Oreochromis niloticus: one gene and its partners. The main gene of each other region encodes a partner of the protein of the gene in region 3 in a complex. Links are inferred from orthologs where the notes say so. Each region holds a gene or a part of one and is shown on either strand. Other genes may lie near its edges.

What was found. Proteins that work in one complex are often made in the same cells at the same time.
Region 1: nup205 (region 3) and nup160 share a complex: the UniProt entries of both Homo sapiens proteins name them as parts of the nuclear pore complex. The link is inferred for Oreochromis niloticus from reciprocal best matches to the Homo sapiens genes NUP205 and NUP160.
Region 2: nup205 (region 3) and cetn3 share a complex: the UniProt entries of both Homo sapiens proteins name them as parts of the nuclear pore complex. The link is inferred for Oreochromis niloticus from reciprocal best matches to the Homo sapiens genes NUP205 and CETN3.

Annotation. Positions count from the first base shown.
Region 1 is NC_031972.2:2,109,244-2,116,231, reverse strand, and holds the start of nup160 (nuclear pore complex protein Nup160), read left to right. Parts: upstream 1-3,959; 5' UTR 3,960-4,029; coding exon 4,030-4,120; intron 4,121-4,560; coding exon 4,561-4,669; intron 4,670-4,743; coding exon 4,744-4,954; intron 4,955-5,612; coding exon 5,613-5,835; intron 5,836-5,911; coding exon 5,912-6,102; intron 6,103-6,190; coding exon 6,191-6,427; intron 6,428-6,513; coding exon 6,514-6,611; intron 6,612-6,725; coding exon 6,726-6,810; intron 6,811-6,888; coding exon 6,889-6,957; intron 6,958-6,988. UniProt on the Homo sapiens protein: Functions as a component of the nuclear pore complex (NPC). Involved in poly(A)+ RNA transport.
Region 2 is NC_031972.2:8,996,928-9,004,531, reverse strand, and holds the start of cetn3 (centrin-3), read right to left. Parts: upstream 3,030-7,604; 5' UTR 2,872-3,029; coding exon 2,855-2,871; intron 1,649-2,854; coding exon 1,513-1,648; intron 1,308-1,512; coding exon 1,193-1,307; intron 1,073-1,192; coding exon 881-1,072; intron 1-880. UniProt on the Homo sapiens protein: Plays a fundamental role in microtubule-organizing center structure and function. As a component of the TREX-2 complex, involved in the export of mRNAs to the cytoplasm through the nuclear pores.
Region 3 is NC_031972.2:61,902,132-61,910,005, forward strand, and holds the start of nup205 (nuclear pore complex protein Nup205), read right to left. Parts: upstream 3,040-7,874; 5' UTR 2,844-3,039; coding exon 2,816-2,843; intron 2,297-2,815; coding exon 2,154-2,296; intron 1,990-2,153; coding exon 1,818-1,989; intron 1,648-1,817; coding exon 1,503-1,647; intron 1,205-1,502; coding exon 1,045-1,204; intron 847-1,044; coding exon 618-846; intron 524-617; coding exon 359-523; intron 255-358; coding exon 79-254; intron 1-78. Other genes in the region: agk (acylglycerol kinase, mitochondrial), read left to right, coding at 3,432-3,541, 3,625-3,664, 3,746-3,825, 3,915-3,990, 4,092-4,217, 4,338-4,432, 4,588-4,657. UniProt on the Homo sapiens protein: Plays a role in the nuclear pore complex (NPC) assembly and/or maintenance. May anchor NUP62 and other nucleoporins, but not NUP153 and TPR, to the NPC.

The DNA of each region.
Region 1 (6,988 bases), about 60 Mb from region 3:
TATTACTTTAGGATTAGTTTAACACAAAGTCAGGGTTGACCCGGGACCATTGCTGTGAGTCACAGTGTGCAGCATAAAAGTCCTTTCACATCAGACGCAGGATGTGCTGCTAATGCGCAGCATAAAAGTCCTTTCACATCAGACGCAGGATGTGCTGCTAATGCTAACTAAAAGCAAAGGATCCAGAATTTGTTGCGCTGGCTGCTGAGCTCTGTGGTTTTTTGCAGCAGCTCTACCTGTACTAAATGCACCTGCTCCTTGTCGTTTCTATCTCTGACTTTATGTCCTCTACAAGAGTTTGGTTTTTTTGCTAGTTCTTTAGATGTTCAATAAAAACATGTATGCTAATTCATAACGAAGAAAGCTTTGTAGTGAAGACTGTCATTTCCAAAACACTGCCCCCTCCCCGCGGTCTGCAGCGCTGTTGAAAAGGCTGTGGAAGTCCCTGTATTAAGCACGTAAACCTGTGACACAAAAATCACCAAACTCGGACGACCACAGACTGTTTTCCTTCATGGTGATGAAGGAAAATGCTGGGTTGGCATCATTGACTGTAGAAAACATGGACGACGCGACTCCGCCTCCTCCCATTGTGCAAAAATGAAGCCAAAATACCCCGCTTGTGGAGGCTGCCATCTTGCAAATTTGGAGCCAGAGTCTGCGCAGTAGTGACTTGAGGTGGAGCGACTGTGTAACGCTCCCGCCCACACACCCGCTGGACTTGACCGTAAACACGCCCCCCTACACTTTTTACGTAGCCCGGCTGCTCGAGTTTTTTTGCTGGTTTACCGCGACTGATGACTCGTTTAATTAAGGTAAATACAACCATGTCACTGTTATAAAAAGACACACAGCTTATCATCTTATAGTTCTAAAATCACTTTGTTGTTAATTCGTTTGCTAGATTAGCCGCTAGCATACGCGCTGTGTTGGAGGCTTGTTGCTAGCTAGATGCTACACACCTGCTACTCTAATAGTCTGTGTTATTGAAGGATTCAGCACTTCTTATGTTTGTTTTTATCCATTTTTAGACAGCGATGAGATAATCTGCACACTCTACAGAGGCCCAGAGTTACTGTTAATATCAAAAATATAATGCTGTCCTTTGAGATTTTAACATAAGACTGTGAGTGTAATGGATCTAAAACGGTTTAAATCTTCAGAGCCCTCTACAGCCTGGTAACATGGAAACTTTAAAAACATCAGCAGAACGTTTCAGTAGTGTAGTCTAATTTGTTCTTTTCATTTAATAACAGAGTCCATATTATATCAACAGCTACATTCACCCTGGGGAGAAACTAGTGAGGGAGACCATCAGGACCAAGCTGGGTTTCCTGGGTCCAGAGGTTTGGAGAAACTTCTTCCTTTTCTTTCATCACAGCTGTCCTGTGCCAGAAGTTCTGTTGACTGACTGAGAGAGGCTTCATTTAAGAAACACCAGGAAGACTGAAGCTCATCGCATTGATCAAGCAGGACTCATGATCTTCACCAGCAGCTCCCTCACAGGGAAATCTTCAGCACTCCTCCATAGGCCCGATCCAGGAGATGGATAAACCCAGCATTTCATGAACACTGTGATGGAGACCTTTGGTTTGTGTAATGTTATAAATACTCGGATACTCCCCAGAGGCTCCAGACTTTTACATAAAGATATTATATTCAGTCCTGTAGAAAGTTATATATTTAAAAATATATGATCCTCTCTGGTTACTCTGGTATGAATAACTCTGAATCACTTTATGGTAAATAACACACTATCTGCAAAAAACTGTGAAAGAATTCCAGATGACAAGTTTGTAGTTCAACATACAAGTGACGACCTTTGACCTTCATCAGGTTTTATTTAATTGTGCCAGAGAAAATCTCATATGCTCTTCATGCAGCTGAGTACATCAAGTGTTTAAAACGGAAGCTGTGCAGGTCTGAGATCAGCAGCTTTGTGAAACACCAAACTGAGGTCCTGTTAATGCTGATATATAGTGACACAGTTACATGAGTGATTAATCCTTTTGGGTTTTTGTTTTTAACTTTATCAATAAAGCTGCAGCTTTCACTGACAGCACATGTGGTACTTTAACCTTTGTACTGTTTTCATCAGTTCATTTTGCAGTTAACATGTGAACATGTTGGATGATCTGTCTGCTGTCACTGGGTGGTGCTGAGGTCTGAATCTGAGGGCAGCCCCTGTAATCACAAAGAGAACAGAACCATCACAAACTCAAATATAAATTTTATCCCTCAAAATTGAAATAAAGCTGATTCTTCTGTCCTCACACACTCAGGATCTGAAGTTCTTCTCTTACATTTTTTTCAGTATTACAGTACTCTACAGTCCTTTAATCCATAGTTCCTGATTAATGAGGAGTTACTGAAGTACAAGCTTTTAAAAAAATGTTACTGTCTTTACAGATGTGGCAAGAGACTGAAAACATGCTGTTGTTTGCATATATTTGATATTCAGCTCTGCACAGGAGCTGAAGCAGCGTGCAGCCTGTTGCTTTTACAGTATAATACTTGTAATAAAAGTGCAGTAACAGTAATTAGTGACTGATTAGCCCGGAACGTTTCTCTTAATTTCTTTAGTAAGTTCATTCACCTGCACAGATTAGCTAAACGAACCCTGACAGCCGAGTGCTCATTTTAGCTAGCTAGGTCTCAGGACCTAGCTAAGGACGGTAGTTACGGATTAGCTTACAAACACGATTAACTTACCGAAAAAGTGCAGCGGGGCCTCGGGTCCTTCTGTCGGGTAGTCCAGTTTACTGAAGAACACCTCAGGCTGTCAAGTTAAAACACTCGGTCGTGTTTTCAGAACGTAAACGCTGGCCCTCCTCTCAGAGCCTACGCTCTATCTGCTATTCCCGCACACAGATACGCAAGTTTCTTCCGTGACTGCAGCTGTCAGTCAAAGCCGCTATGATGACGTTTCACCCCAATTTAACATCGCCGCTGTAGGAATGAGAATCAAACTTATGGGAAAGGAGACCCCTTGGACATCAATCAGCATGATGAGAACTATTGATAACAAAAGACAGAATCTTTGGAAAAAAATTATCTAAGGAGAATAAATTTATTTTAGTCTGACCCCAGTCCCATCCGCTAACATGGAGGAGGCGGGGTTTATGACCTATACTGCAGCCAGACACCAGGGGGCGATAGAGACATTTTGGCTTCATTTTTGGAGAGCTGTCGCGTCGTCCATGTTTTCTACAGTCAATGGTTGGCATATAAAAGGGCATTTATTCCCTTCAAGGACCTGCAGTTCAAAGAAGCGCCCCTCCGACAGCCAAACCCATCTCTTCTCTGATTGGATTGTTACATTTGTGATTGACATGACATTGACCAATCAGATGAAAGGAAGAAAAATAGGGTCAAAATTCGTACTTGTAACTTGCAGGGTTTTTTTGGCTAAGTCCACACACAAATCTTTTTTACGCACACACAAATTCTTTTTACACATACAAATCTTTTTACACATACAAATCTTTTTTACACACACACACACAAATTCTTTTTACACATACAAATCTTTTTTACACACACACAAATTCTTTTTACACATACAAATCCTGATTTACAAGTACAAAATATTTATGACCACATTTTGAGCCCATACCGCCGCCCCGCCCTCTCCTCCCTGTGCAGCAAGCAGCAGGCGCACCTCGCAAACAGAGGGCGCCCTTACTCCCAGCAAATGGGCGATAGAAAACCGATCGGTGCCTATGCCATCCCCAAAATGTGTTGGCCAATCAAAATCCGACACACACACACACACACACACACATATAAAATCTAATGAGAACATCTAATAATGTTAATTTCCTTCTGGGCTCTGATTGGTCAAAGCAGACATACAAAAAAAACGGAGTCGGATTTGTATTGTTTAATGATGACGTCAGTCATCCGATCCGGCAGGTGGCGCGCCTCGCAGTGGTTCTCCTACCTTAAATGAATCTTAGAAGAAGAAGGAGCTGGAGGCGGAAGTGGGTTTGAAAGCGCAGCGCGCGGCCGCAGCGGCACGAGGATAAGATGGCGGCGGCGTTGGAGCGCAGCTACATCGAGATCTGCGGGTTCGAGAGAGAGGCCGCGCGGAGGCCGCGCGAGCTCACTGCGAATCTAGGTAACTCCTGCACTTCACCTGCGTGCCCCTGACGGCGGCTAGCAGGGAGCTAACAGCCTAACGGCCCGTACCTGCTGGCGTTAGCGTGTTAGCTTCCTGCTAGCCGCGCGCGGCCTGGAGGTGTTTCTGTTGTTGTTGTTTTTTCTTCCGAACTCTCACCTGACTAGGTGAGCGCGCACTGCTGAGCAAGCGAGCGAGTAAATCTTCCTCCGTCTCCGTTTAGTATCAGCTAGCTCCGTTAGCTGCTCACCTGTTGCGCACCTTGTCACGCGTGAACCCGCGCTGATCACGTGACCTTGACCTGCGGTCGATGGTGTCTGCGCCTCCGGAAGCAGCTGATTATTGATCTGATAAACACTGTGACTTGCTGATCAGAGCCTCAGACACCTGCAGGTCAAGAACCTGTTCAAACCGGACTCACCTGTCTTTCCGGTCTGCAGGTGTGAGCGCAGCACCTGGCAGCCTGAAGTTTCCTGACAGCGCGGGAGCGTTTCATTATGAGGAGAGCGGGAAGCTGCTGTCGGTCATCAGCAACAGGTTCATCCACTGGTGGGTACCAGCTGCTCTCCAGGTGCTCTGCAGGTGCTGTCAGCCGTTCTCTGCTAACACTCTCACTCATGCAGGTCCACGTCTGGGGACTCGGTGGTGCTGGTGGAGCAGTCTCTGGACACCAACTTGCTGAACAACGCCGTCCGGCTCCGCTTCACCCACTGTGCTGTCCTGCCCGGAGGAGTCACCATCCAGGAGACGCTCAGCAACGTCGTCATCCTCATCTCCACCAATCACAGCGTCCACAGGCTGCTGTTGCCCCACCCCACACGCATGTACCGCAGCGTGAGTACCTGACGGTGACCCTCAGCCTGCATGCTGTCCTATGGTCCGTGAAGAAGCCACACCACCAGCTGCAGGACAGCGTGCGGTTGTTGATTACTGATTACCGTTATCAATTGATTAATGAAAGTGTCACTATGGACACGACAGATGACTCAGACTTTAAGGTCTGATACCAAACTACCAACAGCCGTGTGAGATTACCATAGTTACCATGGTTACCATAGAAACAGATTTAGGTGAACGTGAAATGTAATATTACAATCAATGTAGAAATCAGCAAAACATAACAAACAGAAGAAATGTTTTTAAAAATACCAGAGGAAGGCGCACGATGGAGAGCAAAGGGACTGAACAGAGTCTGTGTGTGAGTGATGGAGGACACTCAGACCATGGTGAGGTGGGTGGGGGTAGGCTGTTGTTAAGTGTCCAAATGGACGCTGTTAGAGTCTGGAGGTGTGGGACCTGACTGGCCTGAGGCGCCCACCAGAGGGCAGCTCTGAGCAGGACAAAAAGTCGTACTAATCAAATCAAATGGACACCATACACAGTAGAAAATACGCGTGTGTGCAAATGATACAATCATACAGCTGTTAGCACAATTACTACGGTAACTGTTAACGAGATAACTGACCTCGAACACTCCTCTGTGCGTGTGTAGGAGCTGGTCACAGAGTTGCACATGCAGTCCATCTTCACTGATGTGGGGAAGCTGAGCCTGCAGGACCCCGCCCACAGCGCCCTCATCCCCAGCTCAGTGGGAACCACGGCAAGTCCCGGCGCTTCGTTCGCCTGGCTCAGTTACCACGGAGACGCACACTTCGCTCTGGCTTCTCCTGCAGGAGGCATCACGGTGGTCACCCTGCCATCGCCCGATTCTCAGGGTGAGGGGGAATTTCTATGTTTAATGTGGGCGTGGTACCTCGGCCGGATTTTAAGACGTGTGCTCGCCGTTTCCAGGCAACATGTCGGTGCTGGAGTTGAAGAGGAGCTCTGTGATGCAGCGGCTGTCCGGGTGGATGCCCACGGCAATCCGCGGCGAGCACAGCCCGGCCGACCTCGTGCTCAGCCTGGCCGTGCGGGAGCTGGAGGAAGACTCCTTCATCTTTGCGCTGTGTCAGGACCACCGGCTGCGCATGTGGTCGCTCAGGGTGATGACATCACACACACGCACACAAACACATTGTTGATGTGTAACGTTTGAGTCGCCATGTGCTGACGTGACTTCCGCCCCCTCAGGAGCATGGCTGTCTGCTGGAGGCGGACATGTTGGAGTACATGCCGGCGTGTAAGGGCGTGAAGCGCCTGCCGGGCCATGGTCACCGCCTGCGCCTGGCGTTCTCCTCCACCACAGGCTTGTGCGTGTGCGTCTACCTCGCCGTCCCTCAGCGGGGGCAGTTCACCGTGTTGCAGCTGGTCGCCACAGACAACAACCGCTACAGCCTTGAGCACATCTCCACACTGTTCAGTACACAGGTGAACGCACGGGCGGATCCAGGGGGCGAGCCTCGTTTTTGTGTTTGTGGTTACTTTCTGCATTCTGAACCGCTCTCTGTGAACAGGAGACGCTTGTGGACTTCACGCTGACCTCCTCGGACATCTGGGCTCTGTGGGTGGACGAATCCAACGCCACCGTGGTCAAATACATCAGCTTCGAGCAGTGAGTCGAAATGCCAGTGTCTTCCTCCTGTCCTCTGCTGATATTTCCATGTTCTCTACCTGTTTCCATCATCTGTCTCCGCACATGTTCCTCACCTGTCGGCATGTTTCACAGCAACACGGCGGCTCAGTGGAACCAGGTGTTTGTTCAGCCTCCACCCGAAGAAGAAATCCACATCGGAGTGGACCTGGACCCCCGGGTGAGACCAGTTCAGACCAGTAACCAGTGTTTTAATGAACAGGTAGTGCTGACCATGTGACCTCTGACCCCCTGACAGGAGACATATCTCGAGGTTCTCTTCTCTCCCCTTCGTTTCACAGCCTCGGCCATTGTGAAAGCCCTGCAGGTGAGAATCTAGCTGTGTGTCTGATTGACTC
Region 2 (7,604 bases), about 53 Mb from region 3:
TCTTATTATTCTTTCTGGGTCACAAAATAAACATTTAACATATTTTCAGGCGAGAATGTAGCTGTGTAAACCTCAAATATCTGCTCAGTTTATCAAGACACCACATATTTTCAAAAGCGCTCCGACGTTTTCGGAGACGTCTGTTACCCACCAGCTCGATAGCTAGCCGGGATTCAAGGCTCATTGAAGCCAGTGAGAGCACCAGATTCCCGGCAAATCGTTTTCAAACATCACCACCGTCTTTCGCTACTCAGGTTAAAAACGATATATAAGTCACTTAGAAAACTTAAAAATGTTATTGTTTGGCTTCTTTTAGTATTTTATTTGTTCCTGAGTAAATCAGTTTGGCTGAGATTAAAGTTATAGTTTTTACACAGCTGAATAAACGTCAAGCAGACAACTGATTATCAGAAGTGTGAGATGGTCGAGAATATACTCCGGTGTCCTGTTATATTTTAGATAGCAAGGAGCAGACGGCTGAGTTTATTAAACTTCACTGAAACAATCTGCAAATTTCACTAAAATTTAATAAACTATCATCTTATCTTTATTTTTAGTTAGTACATACCTTAAACACTTAAAGCTGTAAGCTAATAATAGTTATATAAGAGCAGATGCATGCTAGTGCGTTGTACGTCCAACGGATGCATGATCTGATTAGTCGACTAATCGCAAAAATAATCGGTGACTAATCGACTATCAAAATAATCGTTTGTGGCAGCCCTAGTTCATAGGCCTCTTTTGTACGTACACCAAAACAAACAAAAGTCCTGTTCATCCACTCCTGCTCACTTAAACAAACTGAACGCGTTTCCCTTCTAGGGATTAAATGTATAGCAATAATTGTCAATGTCGAAGAAAAGAGCAAGTGCTGACTTACTTTCACCATCTCCGTCAGTATCGAACTCCTCGATCATGCTGCGGAGCTCTTCATCGCTGATATTCTCCCCAAGTTCCCGAGCCACACGTCTCAGGTTCCTCAAACTGATCTTTCCTGATTCGTCATCATCAAACAGCTTAAAGGCTTTCATGATCTCCTCTTTCGGGTCTCGCTCTAGGATGCGATCAGTCACTGCAGAACCATACATAACATGCATCAGAGTTACTGAAACACTTCAGTTAAAGATGTCAGAGATTTTCTTCCTCTTGGTCCCTGTCTGCACAGGGGCACATGCAGGGAAGGCAAACTTACCAACTTCACTGAAGTCCTCAAATGTTATTTTCCCATTTCCCTCTCTGTCATAATCCTTAAGGATCTTGAGAACATCCACTTTCTTCACTTCAAAGCCGAGTGCACGCATTGCCACCTGTTGACAGTTTGTGACAGTGAGATGTTTCTGTATTCCTACAGCAGCACAGCAGATGTAAACATGTGAGGAAAAACTGCTTTTTGAGTTCATTATGACAGACATATGGCACATATTAACATACTATACACAGCAGATTAAATACCGCTTCACTGGACTATTTTTGGCTGTCAAACTTGTTTTCCTCTCATCATCCAGTGCTCACCTTCAGCTCGTGGTAGTCAATTTCTTTGTCCTTGTCTGTGTCAAACAACTCAAATGCTTCTTTGATTTCATGTTTCTGATCCTCAGTGAGTTCTCTCCTCTTCTTACGCTTTGTTTTGTCTGCCATGAGCTCCGTTCTGGAGAAAGACAGATGCAGCATATGTTACACAAATGTACACAGGTTTCAGCTGCAATCATATTGCAAACTTTTTTCTTTAACTTAAGTGACATATTTATCCGCTGTTACCCCAAATTAAAGCTTCAATACAGAGTATGTTGTACAGCATATGGCAGAACACCACAGCTTTACAGAAGAAGGTAGCAAAGGGCTGACAAAACACACAATAGACAAAGACGCAGGCAGTGCACTCAGTGTTTAGACAACGTACACAGCCTTGTGATCAGTTTTACCCTAACAACTGAGAAAACGAACTTAAAATCTGTAACTATTTACAGACTGAAGTTTACAAGTATCTACACTCTGTGTTTGCAACACAAGCAGAGTGCAGTACATATATCGTTAGCAATGTAACGAAGTATCTACGACCAAATACTTATTCAGTAAAATCTAATTTATCAGCAACTTAACCACATGATAGAGTAATACTCTGACACCTGTTTATCTAAATATCAATAACATTACAAAATAACATAACAAAACAAATTGACTGTAGTATCATTATAACATTAATTGTCAGATACACATAACACTGTGAAGTGTTTGGCTGACAGCTGATACAGCTACTTTCCTCGGTTAGATTTTCTCTGTTTTTGGTCCTTTTCCCCCTTTCTGTGCCAATTCAACACAAGATTCTCCATGTATAATATTTAATATAAGGTTTCCCCCTTACAATTCCACTACACATACACAAAAGTGTATGTGCACTGAATAAAATGTAATCAGCAACAATGTTGGTCAAGAATGCTCATTTGTTTAAGAAAAAAAAGAGAAAAAACGCTCCTTTGTACTGGTACTGATGACTTTCTGCTGTGGCTATGCGGTCGATGCTTACTGAACGTGTACGTCTGTAGTGGATTGGATGAAAGACAAACGATGCACAGGGGTGGCATCTGAACAGTAGTTTTGCAACTAAATGTGGCCTATAGTACAGTGCATTGTAGTCGTCCAAGTCACATTCAGAAAAACAAACAAAAAAAAAAAACAGTAAGCAGCTAACGTCGACTCTACACTGATTAGTAGCTCCAGCTAATTCCTATGCAATATCCCTCCCGAACAAACACAGCAAAGTTAACATGCTAGCGCCTCTTATGTGAAAGAGCTAGCGACTAGCTCTGTGCGCTGGTATGAGGGATGTTGGAATAACTGCGACAAACCGGCTTACCTCAGAGACAGGCTCATTGTGAGGGGATTTAACGGCCCTGAAACAATTACTCTTATTACTGTCACCAAATACAATCTCACCGAGGCCGACACACAACAATTCCGTTTATCCGCGCTCACATTCACATTTCCTATTGGTATCTGGTCATCAGGCAGCAGCAAATTGCTTTCTGATTGGCTAGTGTTCTTCTTCTTCTGCTGCTTTTTTTTTTTTTTTTTTTTTTTTAATATTTCCTCTAGTGCAATCGCAGCGGATCGGAGCAGTATCGCCACCAGCTACACGTGTGCTGTACTGGATAACAATACAGTAGATGTGCACACGTGTATTGCAAATCAATACAAATCATTTAAACTACGAGGATTATAACACGTAAAGGTCCCTAAAATGTAGTAAATATTTAAGTATAATTCTGAACAGTATTCACCATAGAACAAGATCCTGTGAGTATTTTTTAGCGCATTTTATTGTGTGCCAGCTATGTTTAAAACCTATTTTATACGAGGCTGCGACTAATTACTATTTAAATTAATGTTTAAAATTTACTTGACATTATTATTATTATTATTATTATTATTATTATTATTATTATTGTTATTTTAGCAGCAGTAGTAGTAGTAGTAGTATTTCAACTGCTGAACAAAAAGAATATCCTATGTAGGATAAAGTATTTTTAATATTGTTGTGCTGATATTTTCTTGGTAAGTTTATTGATTTTTTTTCTAAGCATTTAGAAAATGATGCTGGACCTTTGCAGTCAATGCAAAAAGAAAATGGAATACCATGAAAAATGTTCATATTTGAAAATCTAGAACCATGAAAATTTTTTCACGTGTTCACATATGTGTATTTTATGTCTCTGGTCTTCCTACTCTAGACCTCCTCCACCTGAATAAAAAAATACATTTTCATTTTATTTATTTCTTCAGCAATCAGTAGTTGTTTTTTCATTTGTTTGTTGTGTCTGTTTTAGTCATTTGTGTCTCTTTGTAATCTTTTCAGATTTTATTGACTTTTTAACAAGAACTCTCAACTTCAAACAGAAACCCTGCAGGAGTCTTTTAAATCTGTAACAATTAATTTTTTAAATTAACATATTTTAAGGTGTTTTGTACACAATTACCTTCATATAAGATAAATGCTGTGCAATGAAAAATCTGTTTCTCTCTGAAATGCAAAGTATGGATTATTGTTTGAGAAGATCACTTCAAGTGTATGTATTTTATACATACACTTTAACGATCTTCAATCTGAATCTTTATTTGTCTGCAGATATCATAGTGTGAACCTGTTGATGAGGTGCAGACATGAGTTTGATATCAGTAGCAGGTGCATCCCCAGCACTTCCTGAATGGGCATCTTTCTCCTGCTAACCAAATGAGCTTCTCTGTTTTCTATCACCTACACTTTCAATTCTAACACTTACAGCTTTCTTTTATAAAAGCCACATATACCCACTGGCACACACATGCATGCAATACTTTATGCTGCTCTAAGTACTTCATAACTATATAGAGGTGGGACTCAAACCTCCAACTTGGCACTCAATCTCCTCTTCTGCCTGAGCCACAGCCACCCCCTAGTACTCCATCATTACTGTATAACTGAGGTATTAATTACCTCAAGGGATGAAAAATGAAGGCAGCGCTTTAAGTGCCAAAACCTACAGTTTCTCTTACAAGACATTAGCTGCATTGCTCTATTATATCTCTATTTAGCAGTGTACAGTGTATACCACTTATGATAAAAACTGCAGTCTTTTCTCTAAATTAGATAAAGACATCTGCTGTCTAAAACTGAGTATTGCAATAATGATGAGAAAGCCTCTCTCTTCACTGAGCCTTTTGTTAGGGCAGCAGAGGGATTATGCTGTGATTAACCTCCAAATGAACATTACTTACACCTTGAAGATATCTCATGCTTATTTCCTCCATCATGTTGTAGCCTGCATTTTCACTGTGGGTTCAAGATTTGCTTTCCTTACCAAAATTTCTATAAAATGCCATAAAAGCTTGCATTAGCAAAAAGTATTTGCATATTTGTTTTGAGGCAAGCAGTTAATATTTCACATACATTAAACCAAACCAAATTAGAAAACTGGTCTACCTTTTTAATAACTTCACTGAGATTGAACTAGGCTTTATTTATTTATTTATTTTTGTCAGCCAAACATGGGAACACTGTGTATAACGGCAACAAATTCATCTCATTAAGAGTGTTAGAGCTGAATTGAGACACACACCTGGGGACATCCACTGAGTCTGTTTCTTGTAGAACTGAGTTCAACTTAAACAGTCAGCTGTGGAACAGCAGACAGAGGCTTCTTGTGCTGCTTATGTGAGCCACCTCTGTCTTCAGCAATAGAGAAACACCTATGAAACAAAACATACCAATGCTTGCTATGCTTCCCATCAGTTATTTTGCACTGCTCAAATATATTACACACAGTGTCCACTATATTAGGAATGGCTCCTTACTTTCAGAAAGACTCAGTTCTGTATTAAAGGTGAACCTTCTTTGATAATCTGCTAACATATGCTAGCATGTCATTGCATCACATCAGTTAAGCAGATCTTTAAGCGCTTCCCAAAGGTGTTCTGTGAGACTGAGACCTAATGAATGGGGAGGCCAATGAACTAAACACAGAGTTTACTCCATACAAAATTACCCCATACAACCCAACTTGAAAAATGTAATCGACACAGTCCCTCTAAGAGATACTATCTGCGCGAAAGGTAATAAGTATCCGCCTATCATGTTTTCCAGGATGTTAATTCATGCTTTTCTGCCAAAGACACTGCTCATTTCTGTGCAAGGTGTCTTTTGGCAGTGATCTCTGACACGCTGAGTTATGGGATTGCTGTGAGGAGCGTATGATCTTTTGGCATGCAGGGAACGTCCATGAAACCAAAACACTATCTTTCCCTAAACCTAACCAAGTAGTTCTCAGAACATTAACCTAAAAACATAGTGTTTATTGACTAACTCTAACAAACTAGTTTCAAGTTTCTAAACTTAAAAAGCAAAACAAACAAGACACACACTCTCCTGACTGATAAGTCTGGAAAGTATGTATAATCAGTAAAATGATCAAACATTAGGAAAAACTCTTGATAGGGAGCTTTTGTGAGATGATCTCTGTCATTTATCTCATCACAAGTGTTTCAGATATTTTAGTCACAGCCAGATAGTTCCAAAAACATGCATCCTCCATTATCTGCTGGTTCTAAATTTGCAATAGATGAAGCAAGGTGTTTAAATACTTAAGCACATATAATAAAAGCTGTATGAGTAGGTGAATGTCGTTTATTGTATAGAGTGCTTGGGGTTCATTCATTGACAATTCTTCTGAATGCAGACATTTCAGATAAAATGTTTCTAGATTTGCTTATCTTTCCAGTCCATATGAATGTTGTCTCTTCAAAGACTTTCTTTACCACTGTCATGAACTTCCTACAGATAGTTCTCACCGGCAGTGACAGCACTGTGTGAAGTAGGTGCCACTGGGTCTCTGGTTATCTCCAAGTGAGTCTCCTGTTTCACATGTGTATGCTGAGATAGAAGCTGGAAGGAAAGCACTCACTCACCCAGGAAAGAAAGTGGATCTCTGTTCCTCAAAGTCTCTTCTTAACTTGATAATGTCCTGATGTCCAACCAGGCGTAAACGGTTCTTGTAAATCTACCTAGAGAGGCTTCATTCCCTTTTGCACGAGCAAAATGACAGAAATGACAAACGGCTCATAACCAAACTACACCCTGCTGCGGTGAATGGGCTCCCTCGAGTGCAGTAAAGCATCATACTGAAGAAGAGATGGGTGCGACTGTTCCTGCACAGATGTTCCATCGGTTTGAACATGGTGAGATTAAATGACCAGTAATTATTTGTTGAGTTTAAAGATGTGTTTGATTCAGATAATTGAAAATAGATTGTCGTTATGTATTGTCATTTTAAGAGAACTCTGAAGGTTTATTGTTTTATGAGATTTATGTTCATCGTCATAGAAATTTGTGGCTTGGTCTTTAATTTGTAGACACTGCAGCTTTCAAAAATGATATTCAAATCTAGAAATAGTTTCAGCATTACAGTGGAAAACCCAGAGTTCACTGTTAGGCTTTCAATTGGGCTGTTGCTGCAAAATATTGTTTCACAAACATAACAGATGGACTAAGCAGACCAAATGAATTACAGTCTTAAAAGTCAAAACGCATGAACACATGATCAGCTACAAACACAAAGGACATGTAGTTGTTCTTATTTTACTGCTTTTAATAGTATTTGGAGGGAAAAAAATCCCGGGCTGTTTACCCGAGAATTCTGGAAAATTTTGCCTTGCCATGACTATTCCAATATCCTCCTCTGCATGTCCTCCATAAATCTTCTCCTCTTGGTAATGTCTGGAAAAACAAATACCTACAGCATATGAGAGAAATTGGCCAAAGGATGGGTCATTGGCATCGTTCACTGGTTTATGTACTTCTGAAAACTGAAGCGTGGCATTTTTAGATTAGCTGCCTCTTTTGTTTGTTTTTTTAACTTGACCTTACAGACAAGGGTTGGATCTAACAGTTTTATTTATGGAAAATTCTTGGGCTCCTTCCTGTGATGTTGTAAGCTAAGGTCTTGAGTTTGTAATGTGAAAACATGCTAACAAAGTAGCACCTCGTCAGTCACTGTCATCATAGCAGGCAGTGGCAAGCAGAGGTAGGATGCAAACACAGCACTCAGAAGCAAAGCAGTAACTAAGAGAGTCAG
Region 3 (7,874 bases):
ACCTGATAAGTTAAAAACCATATTATAGTTTTACATGTCAGTCTTAAGTTAAAAGCACGCACCTGCAGCATCTCTTACCTTCATTGGCATAAGAGCCAGAAAGTCTGTGATGAGTGAATGGACGCGGCGGATGTAAAACTCTTCCTGGGAAAAACTCTCACATCCCAGCATGCCCTCTTTCATAAACAAGAAGACATCGCCCAGGAGAGCCTGATCAGCCAGAGCCTCATCTGCCTCAGTGAACTCAACCAGTGCTGCACAAAAATGCACATACAATAACATGAAATGGCTGTTATCTCAGAAAACGTAAGAATCAGAAGGTGATTTTTAATGGAGACTCAAGGAATGCAGTACTTACCAGAGCCCTGTGGCAGCTGGGAAAGGACTCTCAGCGACAGAGCCCACGCCAGTCGACACACGGCCTGCAGCCCCGGAAGCTTCCATGGTTGGCTGTCCATCAGGCGACTGTGCACTGCAGACACATACTGCCTTTCTGTCAGCAATGGAAGTGCCTGGAGCAAATCTGGAGGAAAACACATGCAGGCAGTTGATTTTTGGAATCAGTGATTTCAACAGGAAAAAAAGAAAGAAAACCAAAACCATCAACACGAACTTACCATCTCTATCTTCAGTCCCCTGCTCTATAAAACTGACATCCAAGCAGTAGAGCAGTGCCATAACCAGAGCCAGGCTAACACTGTCCAGTGAGCCATCAGCCTGAGCTGTAACTGTCTCCAGGTGGCCAATGAGTGCCAGAGTGTCATCTTTTGACAGGGGTGATTGGCAGGTCCATGAAAACAGGCTGTCTGCAAGCGCCTGTCGGCATTCCTTGATGAGGTCTGCAACCTGGTGACAGATGCAGAAACTGCATGTAATCCCCATTTTCCATAATCCACTCTGCATTCCTACACTCTGTGTTTCTATTTGAGCTGTGTTGAGAAAATTAGTGGCATTGCATTGTTCCTTTAACACTGGAAAAACAAAACAAAGCAATTTGAAGATTTATATCTTTGGTTAAAATTTATACAAAAGATTACTTCACACCTCCTTCCTGTGCTTTTCGTTGCCCAATCCGCGTTCTTTCTGCAGTCGTTCAAACTCACGCGTCACGCTTATCTCTGACACCAAAGTTAGGATGCGTTTGGTCAGACCTTGGCTCATGAGCTCATCTGTAAATCGTGTTGTCAGAGCCACCAGCTCTCCACTGAAGGAGAAAACAAATAACATTGTCAAACATAAGATTCAAATAGAATAGAACAGAATAGAATAATCCTTTAATTGTCCCACAAGGGGAAATTTGGATGTAACAGCAGCAAGAAAGACACATATACAAACAAAAAGTACACAGGACACAGAACAGAAACATACACAATTTTTACACATTCACATCAAGGGCAATGGTTACCAAAAAAATACAAGCAGGACAAAAACACCTTCCTCATACGGGACTTTAACAGCATTTATCAATGTTTCATTGTACTACTTTTAGACACCGTTATTACCTAAGATCCAGGGTGAAGGTCTTTCCCTGTCGTGACTGAATGAGCGTGCGCAGAGAGTTGGCCATACAAAGTTTTCCATCCCAGTAAAGTAACACGGCCACTAGGCCTCGTGTCAGTCCTGGAAAATAGGGCTGCTGCTGTTCACCTGGAGAGAGATGATTACATAAAAGAAACAGAGCTCAATCTCAGTGTTTGATCAGGACAGTCCATACACTACAACCTGCTACACAATTAACTACAGTGACACTTTACCTATAAGATGAAATGGAAATAATTATGCTGGATAAAGTTGGGGATTTTTTTCCTTCATGTTACCTGCCAAGAGAAGCTCCAAAGCTGCCAACTCTCCAATGTCAAAGAGATCACTGAGGATGAAAGCCTCTGTCAGAAGCTGTTCTGGAAGGAGCCGTGACCCCTGCTGACCTTGGATGGCGATGCCTTCTGTGCTGGCTTTACGCACTTTCTCTCTTTGCTCTGCACTTTTTGGCTAAAAATGAAGAGAAGACAAGACGCTGTTAATATCAGAGTCTCGGAGGACAGACTGTAACTACAAGCTACACATTGGGGAAAAAAAACAAAACAAAAAACCACCCGTGACCTGCATGTGTGAGAAATGACAGTGTTTTAAATTACCCATTCATGCCATCTTACCGGGTTCTTAAAAAGTGACAGAAAGTGAGGTTTGTGTTTCTTCAGCTGTAGGTCTAGGAGGTGAACACTCTCGGGCTGTCTCCTTAACACAGCTCCGTCCACTGTCTCCCAGAGCTCTTTCAGCGGCCCCCACAGACTGGCTCCTGAGGTTGTAAATAAGCTTTCAGATGTCTTGGGCCGTCACACAAGTATGCAAACAACTAATTTCTAGTCATTTCGAGTTAATTTGTTATAACCATGCTTGTTAACACCACTGCGGCATTTTGCACAGCACTATAAAAGATTCCAGAAGTATAGTACAGACACTTCTTTGCCTCCCCCGAGTTGTTAGTTTCAATTTTATTTCAAGCCGGTCGGCTGATCTATCAGACAAGTCTTGTCATCCCTCCCTGTTATTTCAGGTTTAATGTGGGAATTAGTTCGGTGTAAATGAGTAAAACTAATTTGTTATTTAACCTCAACTAACTTAACGTCTATTTGCTATGGGTAAGGCTAAGCTATGTTAGCCTGACAGACCCAACAACATGTGGTCAAAACATATCATAATCGACAAATCTGCGGCCAAGAAGCGCATATATCTGCGCTTCTATGCATAACAGAGGTTGAGATTTGATGCAATAACTAAACAAAATCCAATTATTTAATAAAATATACACCCTTACCCGAATTTACCGCCATCTGCGCCGCCATGATACGCTCACTAAGTTGGACAGAAGCTTCTGGGTTTGTGCCGGTGTGAAATTTAAAACAATCAATTCTGTAACGCTTTGGTCACTTTTAGTGAACAACGAATCTATCAGTCCTAATTTAATGTCCTCGCTGGTTAGTTGAGTAGATTAAATATCTTAGAAGATTTCATGGTTATGTGGGCTCTTTTCAGGCGGGGTCCTCCGAATGATGGCCCCGTCCCCATTAGCAACTATGGGAATTGTAGTTCTTGTAAGCTAAAGCGTTTAAGGCATTTAATTAAATCTACAATCTGTAAACTTAAAAAAAAATAATTAAAAAATAAAATATTTTTAGGAGACTTATATAAAGCAATACTTGAAAAAAATATGCAACTAGAAATAGTTCCGAAAAAAAACAAAACACAAGCGGAACCATGAGTTTGAGGCTCCTGTTTTGCTTCCAACTGTTTTGACGGTACACCAAAATGTCCATGCTAGTCTTATATCTGTGAGTCTGTGACCGCTGTGATGAAAATGTGTCGTTTATGACGTTTAATGATCTGTACCACTGCGCTAAAATTGAGGTTTTGAAAACAGTTTAATCACAGTCATGGCTCGAGTCGTGAAAGTGTTTCGGACTTTGCGAAATCATTGGAAGAAAAGCACATTTGCTGTGTGTGTCTTGTCCTACGGTGGATACTGGCTGTATGGAAAACACTGGTGGGTATTTCATGCTATGAATGAGACAGAGTGCACAAATTCCCGTTTTCGTGTCCTAAATGTTATGTATAATATTTCATCAGTGACAGCGTCCTGCGCAGAGAGGCGTGTCTACTAGCCAGGGTAAGGTGTCACAAAATTATTACCCCAAAACACAAGTTTCCTCTTTGTGACAGTTATCCTTAACATCATCATTTGTGTTAGGAATATGGACAGCAGCAGATAGCACCACAGGAGCGAATCAGGAAAGCAACTGTGATTTTGAACCCTGCAGCTTGCAACGGGTAAGACGCATAATCTCCAGACATCTCTCTGAGAGTCTTGTTTAATTCTTCTCAGAATATTTACAGCTTCCTGTGTTAATTTTCTCCAGGAAAGCCAACAACCTATTTGAAAAGAATGCTGCTCCTATTTTACACCTGGCTGGTGTGCAGATTACAGTAGTCAAGGTAATGTTTTCTATTTCAATTGGATATTTATCAGGTAATAGTGTCTCTGAGAGTGTCACAGAGCATGACATCACATCTAGATATTACATATCCCTCTACAGACAGACTATGAAGGCCAGGCAAAAAAACTGATCGAGTTAATGGAAGAAACAGACATGCTGATCGTGGCTGGAGGAGATGGCACGTTGCAGGAAGTGATCACAGGTTTACTGAGAAGGCCAGACCAAGTAGGTGTAATGTAATATAGTAGCTGTGTTAATCTGACATCATCTGTCTGTAATAACTGTATTCGGTCTGATACTTTAAGTAATTAAATCTTTCTTTTGGTGGATGTTTTCTGACCACAGGACGTCTTCAGTAAGACACCAATTGGATTCATTCCACTAGGCTCCCATAATTCCCTCAGTCCAAGTCTTCATCTCCTCAGTGACAACAAGGTCAAGTAAGTAATGTTTCAGCATCACACACAAAAAGATCATTACATATTCCCACGACAAACTTCACTGGGTTGTTATCATGTCACTCAGCAAATATATAGTACAGAATTCCTGATTTCTTCCATTAACTAGAATGTTTTTAATGTCATTCATTTTCCAGGGACATCACATCAGCAACACTGTCAATACTGAAGGGAGAAACTGTACCGCTGGATGTGCTCCAAATCAAAGTGAGAAACTGCTTATATATTGCTCTACACAGCCTTAAAGTTACAAACTAAATCTGTACTTATTTTAAAAAATCTTGCTGTTTTTAACAGCCAATATTAAAACAAGTGAGTAAGCCGGTAAACTGGATTCATAAAGCACATTTTAAAAATTACAAAGTTATTTAATATTTATTTTAAAAGCCATTAGGTAAAAAATATAGATATTTTTAAAAACATATATGAATATTTATTATAATGAAAGAAAATTACAAGAAAAAAAATGAGTTTTATCGGTTTTTGTGAGTATTTTTTTTTTTTTTTAATTTTCCAATGTGACATTATTTTTCCAGTTTAAAAATATATACATTCATTTATTTTGATGATTTTCATTTATTCTCCTTTTGTACCACCCAAACTTATTTATTCATTGACTTTCTTTTCATATTTTGAATACATGTTGGGCTAAACGTAAACATAAACTACTATTTTTAATTTTCTTCTTAATATTTAATATTCTCTTTTGCCATGTTGATGACTTTAAATTCAGCAGAAGAAATAAGCAAATTTAAATTCAGGTCTCCATGCAAATTATTTCATGTCCAAGGTGTGTAGTAATTAAAAAAAAAAGTTCTTCCCAGAGGCTTCAGGATCCTTGGCACTTGGGCTGTGCCATATCATATCATCTGCGATAATATACATTTTCCATGATATAAAAGTGTCATATTGCAGTATCTTTCCCATCTCAGTGACACCTGTTTATGTTTCCTAGCACACACAACTGAAAGACAAGCAAGACATATCTGACAGCAAGCGCTGAATTTCAGTTTTCAATTACAGGGAGTGCAGAATTATTAGGCAAATGAGTATTTTGTCCACATCATCCTCTTCATGCATGTTGTCTTACTCCAAGCTGTATAGGCTCAAAAGCCTACTACCAATTAAGCATATTAGGTGATGTGCATCTCTGTAATGAGAAGGGGTGTGGTCTAATGACATCAACACCCTATATCAGGTGTGCATAATTATTAGGCAACTTCCTTTCCTTTGGCAAAATGGGTCAAACGAAGGACTTGACAGGCTCAGAAAAGTCAAAAATAGTGAGATATCTTGCAGAGGGATGCAGCAGTCTTAAATTGCAAAGCTTCTGAAGCGTGATCATCGAACAATCAAGAGTTTCATTCAAAATAGTCAACAGGGTCGCAAGAAGCGTGTGGAAAAACCAAGGCGCAAAATAACTGCCCATGAACTGAGAAAAGTCAAGCGTGCAGCTGCCAAGATGCCACTTGCCACCAGTTTGGCCATATTTCAGAGCTGCAACATCACTGGAGTGCCCAAAAGCACAAGGTGTGCAATACTCAGAGACATGGCCAAGGTAAGAAAGGCTGAAAGATGACCACCACTGAACAAGACACACAAGCTGAAACGTCAAGACTGGGCCAAGAAATATCTCAAGACTGATTTTTCTAAGGTTTTATGGACTGATGAAATGAGAGTGAGTCTTGATGGGCCAGATGGATGGGCCCGTGGCTGGATTGGTAAAGGGCAGAGAGCTCCAGTCCGACTCAGACGCCAGCAAGGTGGAGGTGGAGTACTGGTTTGGGCTGGTATCATCAAAGATGAGCTTGTGGGGCCTTTTCGGGTTGAGGATGGAGTCAAGCTCAACTCCCAGTCCTACTGCCAGTTTCTGGAAGACACCTTCTTCAAGCAGTGGTACAGGAAGAAGTCTGCATCCTTCAAGAAAAACATGATTTTCATGCAGGACAATGCTCCATCACACGCGTCCAAGTACTCCACAGCGTGGCTGGCAAGAAAGGGTATAAAAGAAGAAAAACTAATGACATGGCCTCCTTGTTCACCTGATCTGAACCCCATTGAGAACCTGTGGTCCATCATCAAATGTGAGATTTACAAGGAGGGAAAACAGTACACCTCTCTGAACAGTGTCTGGGTGGCTGTGGTTGCTGCTGCACGCAATGTTGATGGTGAACAGATCAAAACACTGACAGAATCCATGGATGGCAGGCTTTTGAGTGTCCTTGCAAAGAAAGGTGGCTATATTGGTCGCTGATTTGTTTTTGTTTTGTTTTTGAATGTCAGAAATGTATATTTGTGAATGTGGAGATGTTATATTGGTTTCACTGGTAAATTGAAATGGGTATATATTTGTTTTTTGTTAAGTTGCCTAATAATTATGCACAGTAATAGTCACCTGCACACACAGATATCCCCCTAAAATAGCTAAAACTAAAAACTACTTCCAAAAACATTCAGCTTTGATATTAATGAGTTTTTTGGGTTCATTGAGAACATGGTTGTTGTTCAATAATAAAATTATTCCTCAAAAATACAACTTGCCTAATAATTCTGCACTCCCTGTAGGGTTCAGTAAATAGGGAGATACTTCAACAACCTCCAAAAAAGCACAGATCAAAACAAACAAAGAAACTCTGTGGAGTATAACCAGGTCAAGAAGGAGGAGAGACTAGCAGCTGGTGATGTGCTACCCAAAAGTAAACAGATGACGCAACTGCATACCGCTGCCATGTGATAGGAAGAGCAAACAGTGGATGGAAATTACTGGCGTGGTTACATGGTGGAAAAACATGACTTTAAGCAGCTCGACCCACGACACCAAATCCCAGGTAGAAAATATGTTTCAGTTTTGTTATGTGACAACATTGTGCAGCTCCTAATGCAGAGAATCATATACCCATCTCTTTTCCTGCAAATGGTCAATAGTGGCCACCCCAATAAAGTAAATAAAGTATGCAATGGCAAGTTAGTGACTGTTTCTGTAATTAAAAGTAGAGATGTGCGGTACTCTGATTCTAGACTCAGTCAAACTGAGAGTGTTTGACTCTTAGAATATAAAGTAACAAATACATATAATATAAAACAAACAAAATACAATAAAAATCAGTAAATACATAAATAAATTGACAACTAGCTAAGTGAGGAAGTAAATACAAAGCTGAATGCATAATTTTTAAAAAAGTACTTTACATATACATTTTGTTACCCTTGATATTTAATGATGAAACTATTCTCAGTGCTATAAAAGTGGGAATTTAAACATGAGACTTGTGTTCAAATGTAGTTTTTACCCCTCAGCTGTAAAAGACTGACGGACTATTGCTGTCAATACCCACGTTTGTGAATGTGAGAACTGGAGAACGAGGTGACATGTCTACTGAAAATCTCAGTCGAGTTTGAATTTCAGTGACAGTGCAGAGAGAAA